Linked DNA regions of Sus scrofa. The protein of the gene in region 2 interacts with the protein of the main gene of each other region in a pairwise test. Links are inferred from orthologs where the notes say so. Each region holds a gene or a part of one and is shown on either strand. Other genes may lie near its edges.

Region 1 (6,220 bases), on a different chromosome or scaffold from region 2:
GAGGTGACACGCAGGGTTTCTTTTTTCAGAAAGCCTATCAGCTTCCAGCAAATAGAAAACATACAACTTAAAGCAAATACAGACAGGGTGACAGATGCAGAAAAAGGAAAAAAACATTAAAACAAGTGGTTAAAATACCATTGGTCACACTGTGTACTTCAGAGACTTATATTATTCCTCAAAGACAAAGAGGTAACAACAAGCATTTGCCAGAGGCTGGGGAGAAGGAACTGGGGAGTTAGGGTGTAACTGGTACAGAGCTTCAGTTTTACAAAGCAAAAAGAGCTTATGGCGGTGGGTGGTAGTGGTGGTTGCACAACAGAGTGGATGGATGTATCTAATAGTTTAATAACTAAACTGTACCCTTAAAACTGGTAAACTTTATGCTATGAATATTTAGCCATGATTTTTAAAAGTAATGATAAAAAAAGCCTTAAAATTGCTTCAGGTAAATGAACCATGAGGAATACAACAAATGCTAGTTTTCTAACCTTCTGAGATACCTAGTGAGAAAAAGAGATTCAGAAGCATGATATGATGGTCAAATACCAACTAGTAAGACAAGGCAGGCCATGCCACACTGTAACTTCAGAGCTTCACTCCTCTCCATGCTAGTTTAATAACCCAAACTGAATTTGACTCAACCGAAGTCTCACAGTAGCTTATACGTCAACAACCCTGCGAAGTAGGTGCAATTACTCTCATCCTTGTTTTCCATGTGGGGAAACTGAGATCAGGGATGACAGGTTTAAACAGTCTGCCCAAGGTCACTCTGCTAGTAAATGACAAAGGTGAGATTCTGACTCAAGCCACCTGACCTCAAACTCAAGTTGTCAAGCTACCTCTAACTCAATTACAAAAATCTAATCCCACTGTAAAAAAATTCAATGTTAAGTTCAAGTGAAGGTTTTCAAACAGTGACTTTCTCGGGTCTGACTTTTCTCCTTACCACTTTTTCCAGACACAGCCTCTTTGCTTAAATGTTGCTTTCTATGGAGAATTCAACTGAAGGATGGCAGAAGTAGGTAAACAAAATCTGACACCCAGGGTTTAGGGCTTTACACTAGTAGAACAGCATTTGATACTTTATTACAAATATTACAATTCTTAATGAGCTTCAATTAGTGTCTCAATTTAGGGATGCCAAAGGGTATGAATGTCTCCAGTATACACTATCTGAACAACCCTTAGAGGAAATGGGAGTATGGTTACAAAAGGGTGAGAATTCAAATAAACACAGGTGAATTCATGGAAAGATCCACTCGAAGTATCAACTTAATGATATCGCGTTAATATTTCATATGATCTAAGGAGATAACCATTTTTTTTTAAACGGCTGCACCTGTGGCATATGTAAATTCCTGGGCTAGGGGTCAAATCAAAGCTGTAGCTGCAGGCCTACACCACAGCCACTGCACACTGGTCCAAGCCACATCTTGGACCTATACAGCATCTTGTGAGCAAGGCCAGGGATCGAACCTGAATCTTCACAGAGATAATGATGGTTCTTAACCCGCTGAGCCAATTTTAACATTTTAACTGATTTTTTAAGTAAAGCTGGAAACACTGACATGTATGTTTAACTACTTGGCAAAAGGTAACTGCAAAAATAAATTGCCCAATCACAAAATGTAAAAGAGATTGCATTTTCATATGAACAACATCTATGGGGGAAATTACCTCGCAAAGAACTGAGAACCTCTATTAAACATGTATAGAGTTTTAAGCAAGGCAAGTATTATCATTGATTCTGCTACTGTTGCATCCCATAGTCTCTGACCTTTGATTCTCTAACCTGGCCCGCTTATAAAGAGTTCGCCAAAATAAAGACAGTAATCAATGCCAAAGACAAGGAAAATAACCTGCCTGTGCAAAATTCACATTTTATCTCCTGCTTACACAAATTAGAATTCATGTGACCCTGCTTACCGGAAAGCACTCTAACTTTTGAAGTACAACCAAGACTATCTCCCTGATAACTTCAAACCATTAATTAGAATCAATGACCCAAAAACCTGAAAAGGTTATATATCACACAGTTACTGAGCTCCAGCTACTACATTTCTCGACTTAAAACAGGTAAACATTTCACTTCCTGCCTTTAAACAGACTAAATTATTTTTAAGCAGTCTCTTGCCTCCACATGACACGGCTTTCTGTAGGATACACAATACCTGGGTGAGACAAACTAGAGGAGTCAGGACCTAAACCTGGGGGAGCGCTACGGATTTCTAAAAATCTGAACCAAGGGGCCCCTTCAACGTTCAGGCACTTTAGACAAGCACGTAAGGTGCACAGAGTATTCGTGACACTAGGCACCATGCCAACAGCAGGTATCATACCCCTATACCAGGCACACATTCGGCACCACCGGCACACGAGGTATCATCCCCCAGCCACACACCAGGTGCGCACTGCGCACCTCGGACACATAGCACCTAACACTGGGCGCACACCAGGCACCGTGCCCAAAGGCATGTAACAGGGAGCCCTGCGGACACACCTGGTATCACGCCCCCACTGTACCTAACACGGGGCACCACGGACACACCACGAGCGCCTGCACAGCTGGGTCAGAAAGGCGTAAGAGGGCAGTCCACTGGGAAGTCAGGGTCCCAAGCCCGCCTGCTGGGCCCCAGCTTAACTGCTCCCCTCCGGACGCCGGACACGCAGGCGGTCCTGCGGGGTCCCAGGAGGAACTGCTGAGGAGGCAGAGGCCTCGCTACTGTCCGTCCCCAGCCACGGGGACCGCGTCTGGCCTGGGCCCTTGGGGACCACACTGCCCAGCCGCGGCCACCGCTCGGAACAACGAGCCGCCACGGCAGGCGCCTCCCCGCCCCCACACTCACAGGGCCGCGTCCCGGCGGACCCCGACCCTGACTCCGGGCCCGAAGGCCTGGCCGCGCGGGGAGGGCCGGCCCGGCGGCCGGAGCTCACGCGACTCCCGGCTTCGCGGCCGAGCAGGCCCCGCGCAGTCCTCCTCCCGAGGGCCTCCGCCTCCTGCGGGGCCTCCCCCGCCGGGCGGCCAAGAGCGAGGGCGCAGGAGACCCCCGCAGCCCCGCAGGCCCCGGCCCATCGCAGACAAAGCTCCACCGTCCACTCCGCGCTGCCCGCGGAGGGCGAGCGGCGGTCACGCCCGCGGCCCGAGAGGCAGCAGCCGGGCCCGGACTCCACAAAGCCGCCGCGCCCCCGCCTCGGACGCCCCTGCCCGCGCCCCCGCCCCGCCGCCGCGGCCGAGCTTCTCCCACCATTATGCTCCGGTCCTCGCCGCCGCCGCCGCCGCCGCGCCCGGCCCTCCCCCTCCGCGCCCGGCCCGCCGCCCGCGCCGCCTCCTTCCCGCCGCGGCCGCCTCCTCCGAGCCTGGGCCGGCGGGTGCGGGGGGCCGCCGTCTCCCGGCCTTCCCGCCTCCGCGCGCCCGGCCTCCCCGCCGCCCCCAGGCTCCGCGGCCCGGCCTCCCCGCCGCCTCCGGCTCGCGGCCCGGCCTCCCCGCCTCCGGCTCCGCGGCCCGGGCCTCCTCCCCGCCGCCCGCCCCGGCGCGGCGCCTCGGGGGCGCCATGTTGACAGCCTTCGCCGCAGAAAGTCGCGAGCGCCCGGCGAGGGAAGCGCGGAGGCCCCGCCGCCGCACTTACGGTGTCGCCTCGCCGAGCGGCGGGCCGGGGCCGGGCGCGGAGTTGGGGCGCCGCCGCCCGCCGCGGGGAAAGTTTGCGTCCTGCCAGGCCGCGGCGCCGCTCACATGGCGGGTCGAGCGGGGCGGCCGCTCGCCGGCCCGGCCTCCTCGCCGCCGCCGCCGCCGCCGCCGCCCCCGGGCTTTATTGTGTGGCGGGCCGGCGGGCCGCGCAGCGGGTTCGGGCTCGGGCTCGGCGCGGGCTCCCTCCCGGCCCGGCCCGCCGCGCACGCCCACACCCACCTTCCCTCCGTCCTGTGCTCCGCGCCTCTCCCCAAACTGGAGCATATTCGTACAGATCCACACATGCACTTCATATCCACACACACGTGAAGGCTACGTACGTGCGGGCACGCGGGAGCCGGGAGCGGAGCGCACAAAGATCCGGCGCCCGCAGCATCGTCAGCTCGGACCCGCAGCTGCGGGCGCTGCCCGGCCGACGCCTGATTTCGTGTGCGTGGTGCCTGCCTGGAGTCGCCGTCGGAATGGCAAAGTCTTGGAGAAGCGTTAGCTTTTAATGGGCAAGATCGGTAAAATGGTGTTCATACCCTTTTAATTCTGTCATGAAAACGAACTGCGGGAATATGCTGCATTCCACACTTACGCCTTCCACAAGAACCGGACCACCCATTATCACTTTAGCAAAAACACCACCAATTGTTTAAGGAGAAGGAGGTTGTCTTTTTTAGTTTGTGATTGTGGATCTAACCAGAGAAGATCCCAATATGTGAAATAAGACAGGCTCAGAGAGAAGCATATTTTATAGATTTCACGTATTTTCCCTAATGACCTTTCTCCAGGAGGAGTTTGGAAGAAACACCTCTGCGCCAAAATTTCTTACCCTGACTCCATTTGGACATGTATATACCTGAAAATCACTGAAAGACACTTGTCCAAGAAATCTGGGGATTTAAATCCGATTCATCAATCTTTCATGGCCGGGCTGTAAGACTAAGACTTTAGAAATGGGTCGTACTTGACTAGGAGTTCCATGACGCACACCAGCGGAGGAAGCAGTCTTTCAGAGCCCTGGTCCTCATACACCCCAGAGGGGGTTTTGGTTACCTCAAGGAGCATCACAAAATCAGTTTAACTCATTTTAACTGTATGGATAAATACATGCCTTTAAACACTGGCAGACGGGTTAAAAAAATGTCAGAAAAAAATCGAGCCATGCCTGGTTTGAATGCTGGACCGGGAATTCTAACCAATGAATAGCTTTAAGTAAATCATCTTGTTTAAAAGACATCTGTAAAATAGAGATCAGCATGTGTTTCCCTGAGGCCACTCAAGGAAGACATTTTAGGAAAGAAGTCACTGTGTAACTCCACATTTTTCTCTAAATTTTTTTAGGCACCATTTTAATTTCTGTACCCAGATTTTATTTCTCATTCTACCTTGGTTTTGCCTACAATTTAACCTTTGGCTCTATTTCCCCTTCAAAACAGTTTTGTTTACCTCATTTTCCCCTCAGCCGAGTGAATAATAGGCAAGGGAAGTGGTCTGGGGGCTCCTGGTTTGGGATTGGGAGTTGGGAGGAAGCCCAGAAGACCAAGCACTTCTTGCCATACATCCTAGGTTACACCATGAATTTATCCACCAACATGCAAAGAGAGAGCAAGGAACTGAGTCGTGGAGGGAAAGAGGGAAAGGGAAGAGTAGTGGGCTCTGAGGGATGGTTTACTTCCCTTGGCCCTGTTTCGGAGACCTAGCACCACCCCAAGAAGGACCCCACCCAGCACTTCTGACCCTTCCCTACCCCCAGCTGACTCTCACCAGTGGTAATGTTGGACTGGATCAGGCTATCATTTTTCCAGATTCTGCTTTAAGAAATATTATGTACATAGAGAAGTCATGTGTTATTCAGCAAATTAATGTGGAATTTTTGTCTCTTTAAAAGAAATTAATCAAATCATATCCTTAATTTATACCCCACAGTTTAAAATAATCGAAATCACTTAAGTAATACATTGTAGCAACTGAAAATCATTTTTCTAAAGGTAGAAGAAAATATAGGTGGATATTTGTAAGATTAGTGTGGAGAAAACTATCCTAAGCTCTAAAGCAATGATTTTATCAGAAAAGGAAAGTGATAAATTTGACTGTATAAAAGTGTTTGAATCCTATATGTCAAAAACAGATGTAGATGTATTTTAAAATATGCCCATTAGGGTTACAACTTTTATAAGGAGCTTCTTTTTAATACCCTTTCCTCCACTTTCTTTTCATAATGAGGACCAATTCATATGTTTTTAGCACCGGCTTAGAGAGGGTGACTTCACAGCTCTGTAGAGTTGGGAGTCTCCTGCTAAATTTACATCTCAGTGTTCCTGGGTTGCAAGTATGTAGCAGTAAGCTTGTGCATGTGCTCCTGAAAGGCATTGATTTAATTTCTTTATTTTGCCTTTACCTTTAGTTTTGCTTTTAAATAACATGTTTTATGTTTCTGCTTTGCGTTAAAGGGTGAATTACATAAACATTGAGTATTGTATATACACTTTGTTTAAGAACATAATTTTAAGTGAAACTTTAAGTGAAAAACCATCAGGAATGCAG
Region 2 (5,632 bases):
TTCAGAAAAACATTTTGAAATTCAAAGCTAATGAAACTGAACATTTCTTCTATGAAGAAAGCACATTTTGAAAAATGGTCCTAGAGTCACAAAAGAAAGGGTCCTTCTCAACATGAATGAACAGCACCGGTCTTTACAAAGTTTGTGAGTAGGAACTTTCAGTCTCCTGATATATGGCAAGAGTTAACAGTTAATACTCCCATCATTCATAAGAGAAAAGCTACGTTTTAACTCATTGTGATCAGCTCAGAATTTTTTTTTCGTTATTCGCTGAAATTGTTATACAAAGTAGAACGTCACCAAAAGAGAATTCTTGAAAATTCTGATCTGACACCTGCACAAACATTTCTGATTTCCACACGATTGTAAGAAAACACTAAGTAAATATTTACGATATGATTCCTTTTCACATTTTTGGTACGATATTTATTTCAGAGTTTCACCCTATCCAAATGCTTATGCCAGTTTCTTTCCCTTCTTCAGTACTGATTATGTTCAGTTTAATAAAAGCTAATTCAGTTTCTAATGAAAAAAAGTAACAGAGTATTACAAGTAGTAAGAGTGGTATCTACGAATGTGTTCCATGAAAGATCAATCTTTAAACGCCAATGATACCACAAAATCTTCTTGCTTCAATAGGTCAACAGGCTGTTTTTTCTGTATAAACCCATGCACAGCTCTTAATCTTAGTGCAGGGCCTGATAAATGAGACGTAGAGATAAATCAGATTTCACTTTTTCCTGTTTCTAAGAATTTTTAGTCTGTAAAATGTTTGGTCACTCAAAGCTATAAGATTAATCACATATCAAAGAATACAGGCAATAAGGCCCATCTTATGAGACATACAGTATTAAGCTGAACAAAATATGAGGACAAGCTCTAGTGGTCATTAAACCCCCTCAGAAAGTCTAAGAATCAGAATGTCTCCATCATATCAGAATAAAAATGTACTGTATTAAAATTTGAATTTTTACAAGTTGTTTTTTAATTAGTGTTCTATGTACAATGCAGGACTTCTGCCATCTGCAGTAGTTTAACTTTGGCACAACATTGAGTTCCATTTCTTTTGGGTATTGGATGCTATTTTTGAGATTGTGTATGCCCCAAAACGTTTTCAGTGTCATCAAAGATTGGGCCCATTCACAGTAAATCAGACATCTGGAATTGAAGAATTTGTTCTCCTCCAACGTTTTAGGAAGCTATAAAAGAAAAACATAACAAAAAACTAAAATTTAAAAGATAACCATATTTAAACATTTACCACTGTTAGGGAAAAAATGATATAAATTAGCCATGAAATTTATATTAGGCATCCTCTACATTCACACATGAATCCTGAGACCACTTGCCACGTGTGTCTTATACACTGCATTAGACTCTGTGTGCTACTCCAATGTGTAGGTTCTGCATACACTAGATTTGCTTATGGACATTTTTCATGTAATAATTTATAAAAAATTCATAGTAGGAAATATACATTTCATTGTATCTGTAATAAACAGACTATGAAATCTAAAAACTCTTGTATCTTCTATTATATACAGGACTAGCTTGTGCTATATAGATATATCACTTTTTTTTTTTTTTTTTTTTGCTATCTGTGTGGCAGCTTGATGTGAGATCTTAGTTCCCAGACTCAGGCTGCAGCAGTGCAAGCGCTGAGTCTTAACCACTAAACCACCAGGGAACTCCCTATGTATATCACTTTTTGGAGTAAATACACTGAAAAGGTTTTTGGTTTTTTTTGGTAAATTAAACCATTTAATGGTGAATCCTTTTATAAGATTAAAAATTATTTTGTTAGGCCAACAATAACTTTCTAATTAATGGGTTTTATAATTTTAGACTTTAGCATATTTTAAAAGCAGAGCACAGCAATTTATGTATCACAACGTGCATGTATAACTTATATGATACAATTTTTTGGAAACCATGGCTTTGTATGAATTTTCTGACCATAGTCTCCATCAGCATATTAATATATAACTTAAGAACTATCCACACAAACTACAAATAAGGTCAAACTAAGCTCTACAAAAAAGTTCATGTTATTTTTAGAATAAGATTGCAACTCCCTCCAAAATTACTGCAGAGGTTACTACAACAACAATTCACTGCAGCAACAAATTTGTTGATTTAATCTTGGCTGAGTGCACATTCTCACATTTAGCAGTAAAATAGAAATGCCTGTTAAAAATATTTTCTGCATCTAGGTTAGAAGAAAGCTTGTCCTGAAAATTTCTGACGTAACAAAATGGAGGGTTGCATTTCAGAACAAAGCGTACAGTACTGTTTAACCTCTTGTGACTCACTCACAACGATACATTATGCTCTACAACCTGGAATGAGAGCCATTCTAAAATAGATGCATTTTTAGTTTCATTTGTTTTTCTGCCTGAAAAAAACCAAAACTGTTAATGAAAAGAAAACCTGGAAAAAAACCTGCTAAGCAATAAGAATAGTGCCTGGTGCATATTAAGCTCTCTAGAAATAATTGTTAAAATAAATAAAATCCTGGAGAAAGGCGTGTGTGTGGGGGGATTAAGGAAATTCTGTGCAGAATAAAAGAGCATAAAAGTAGAGGATGGCATAAGGAAGCAAAAAGCTATGGTGACATGTAAATATGCTCACGTGAGGAGGGGCTAGGCCTCATTTCCTCCCCTGCTCTTCGAGAACACAGCAGGGATTTCTGACAAGATGCTACTGACGATGGACAGATACAAACACTTCATGACAACTGCACTGTTTTTAAAAAAGTATTGTCTTATCCTAGAACACTCCAAAACAGAGAGTAGAAGAGAACTATGCTACTGAGTTCCCAAAGCATTAGGAACTGAAGTTCTAATTCCAAATCAGGTATCTGATGTGCAACTAGAGGGAAATTTTAATTAACCCAATCTATAAAAGAACATGCCAAACCTTTCAAATCTAAAGCATATTTACTTACACTTTTTTGCCTACAGAGAGATATTTTTAACTGAATGCTGTTATGTTTCTGCTGGTAGCAGGTTTGTTTTATATCAAATAATGAAAAGACATTTTAGGCAATTGAGTTAATTTAATGTCAAATCTGTTATTTACCATTGATCTCTAAAACAGAAAAAATTTATATCACAGTTTTCAAAAACAGATGCCACCTAAGCAAACATGAACTTATATATAGCTTAAAACAGACCTTTGGCTTTTAATAGAAAAACTATTGAATAATTTTAATATATAAAGCATTTTAAACTCTAGTTAAAAATCTAATAGTGTAGGGGGGAATACAATGAATAAAAAAAGATACCCATTGGCACCTAGTTGCCTAAAACTGAGCAGTCCTCATCCCTGTGCTAAGTCTTTCCTTGAGTATACTTTTCCCCTTCTCTTTAGTTCTCTCTTTTGAATTCTTTCCTTAAACAGCTTTAATGAAGGAGGGTTGCAAGAAATACATTTTAGTTATCTTTAGTATTTGTGAATCCCCAACCCGCCCACCAGTCTTCCTTCTTAGAAAATGGGTAACTTTCCTTTAAAACAAAGTAATATTTCACATAGGAAATAAATAATTGGAGTTCCCTTTGTGGCTCAGCAGTTAACGAACCCAACTAGGATCCATGAGGAGGCGGTTTCGATCCTTGGCCTCGCTCAGTGGGTTTAAGGATCAAGTGTAGCCGTGAGCGGTGGTGCAGGTTACAGGCGTGGCTTGGATCTGGCCTTGCTGTGGCTGTGGTGTAGACCAGCAGCTGCAGCTCTGATTCGACCCCTAGCCTGGGAACCTCCATATGCCGCAGGTGCAGCCCTAAAAAGTAAAACAAACAAAAAACCATTAAGGCAACATGAAACTCTTTACAATAAACATAATCATCATAAAAATCAGACTACACACGATAATCACCTATCTCTCGGCTATACTCCCGGCACCCAGTCCTCTTATTAGTATGAGAGAAAACTACCTGAGAACAAAAACTGTCAAAAGCGAAGATGACAGGTACAAGGTGACTGGTCTAAACAGATGTGGCTGGTGAATATACACTCAGATTAAAAACTTACATTTCAGTCATCCGACTTAGAAAGCTTTCGTTTCACATGTCGTGGGGGTTCCCAAGTGTCACTATCGTCCGTTTCTTCTTCATCCTCTTCCTGATCGTCGATAACTTCCTCTTCCTCCTCGTTTTCCTCAAATAATTCTATTCCTAACTCTGATCTTCTCTGTCTTTCGGCAAACCATTCTCGGACCTGCTCGTAGCCCATGTGTGATTTGTTCACGAGTTCATCGAGGTCTTGCTCGTTTAGGAATTTGTGCTTCAGGTAATAGTCCTTAAGTATTGCAGTTCCAGTTTTAAATTTGATAAGCGACGGCCCCCTGTCCCAGCTGTTCATCCTCTTGCTTCCTCTGGGCCGCCCGCGAGGTCTTCCTCTTCCCCTTCCTTTGGGTCTCCCTCTCCCTCTTTTCCTCAGAGAGGACAGACCGTTCATGCTGGAGTTGGCGCTTTGATAGTAGTAGTACCATTTCAGGTTTCCGTTTTTCCAAGCATAACGGGTGTCCCCAAACCAGCTGACTATGTCTGTTCTAGCAAGGCCGCTTTCTTCGGCCAACTTGTCATACTCTTCTGGCGACGGCCACTGGGTTCGGACGAATGCGCTTTTAAGCATGTGCAACTGCTCGGGGGTTTTTTTACATATCTTGCCCGTAGTCCCTGACTTCGGTGCACTAGCCTCATCTCCGGGAGAAGTTTCTCCACCTTCTTCTTTGGAACTACCTGCATTGCTTTCCTCTATTTCCACTTTCTCTTCCTTTAAAGCTTTTGATTTCTTCTTCTCTGTAAACCAAGCATCAATTTCCCTTCTGGTGAGTTTGGTTTGCGCTCTTAACCTATTTAATTCCTCATCGGTAAGCACAGAGCTGTTGAGAAAACTCGCCTGAAGGGCACGGAGCTGCTCTGCCGTCTTCTCTTTAAACTTTTGGGGAGTGAAGTCGGGAAAAGGATTCCAGGATTGTTTCTGCTGTGACGCAACAGTTGGGGATTCCGTGGTTTCATCACTGGAGTCTATAATAATAGTGGCCGAGGAATCATTGTTGAGATGTAAGCACTGATTACTCTTTGAATTTCTCTGGTTGTACCTTGTGTCGCTGAACCATTTTTTAATCTCTCCTTTAGTCAGGCCTGTGATTTTCATAAGTCTGATAATTTCGGAATCGTGGGGAAACTGATTCTTCAGGTAGCTGACTTTTAATTCTGCCAGTTGCTCTTTAGTCTTTTTTGCCCGAATGCCAAATGAGTCAGGGTTTGCCAATGTGGTTTCGTGTTTGACAAGCTGAGAAGACGGGACTGCTGCTGTTGCTGGTTTGGTTTCTGCACCAGCCTGGGCAGCAGGCACCTGGCTTTTCTGTACAGTTGTTTGATTTGGAACTCCTGCCACGGTCAGGGCTATAGGTGCTGTGACTGGCAAGGTATTTGTGCCAGCTACCTGTGTAAGGACCAGACCTGGCTGACCAACTATTTGGCATGTCTGTAAAATGGATGGTAAACCATTACTCCCTGTGGAAATGTGGGTAGGAATGACAGTGATGGTCTGAGGTACTGTGTGTACTGTGCCGTTGAACTGTTTTCTTCTTGCCTCCTCTACCTCCTCGGGAGTCCAACTAACACCA

What was found.
Region 1: the proteins of ZHX1 (region 2) and ZMYND11 interact in a two-hybrid assay, tested with the Homo sapiens proteins (2 studies listed by BioGRID and IntAct). The link is inferred for Sus scrofa from reciprocal best matches to the Homo sapiens genes ZHX1 and ZMYND11.

What each region holds. Positions count from the first base shown.
Region 1 is NC_010452.4:69,291,187-69,297,406, forward strand, and holds the start of ZMYND11 (zinc finger MYND domain-containing protein 11), read right to left. Parts: upstream 4,231-6,220; 5' UTR 4,009-4,230; exon of another isoform or gene 3,908-4,008; intron 3,843-3,907; exon of another isoform or gene 3,630-3,842; intron 1-3,629. UniProt on the Homo sapiens protein: Chromatin reader that specifically recognizes and binds histone H3.3 trimethylated at 'Lys-36' (H3.3K36me3) and regulates RNA polymerase II elongation. Does not bind other histone H3 subtypes (H3.1 or H3.2).
Region 2 is NC_010446.5:16,120,352-16,125,983, reverse strand, and holds part of ZHX1 (zinc fingers and homeoboxes protein 1), read right to left. Parts: coding exon 4,033-5,632; 3' UTR 4,030-4,032; intron 1,200-4,029; exon of another isoform or gene 1-1,199. UniProt on the Homo sapiens protein: Acts as a transcriptional repressor. Increases DNMT3B-mediated repressive transcriptional activity when DNMT3B is tethered to DNA. May link molecule between DNMT3B and other co-repressor proteins.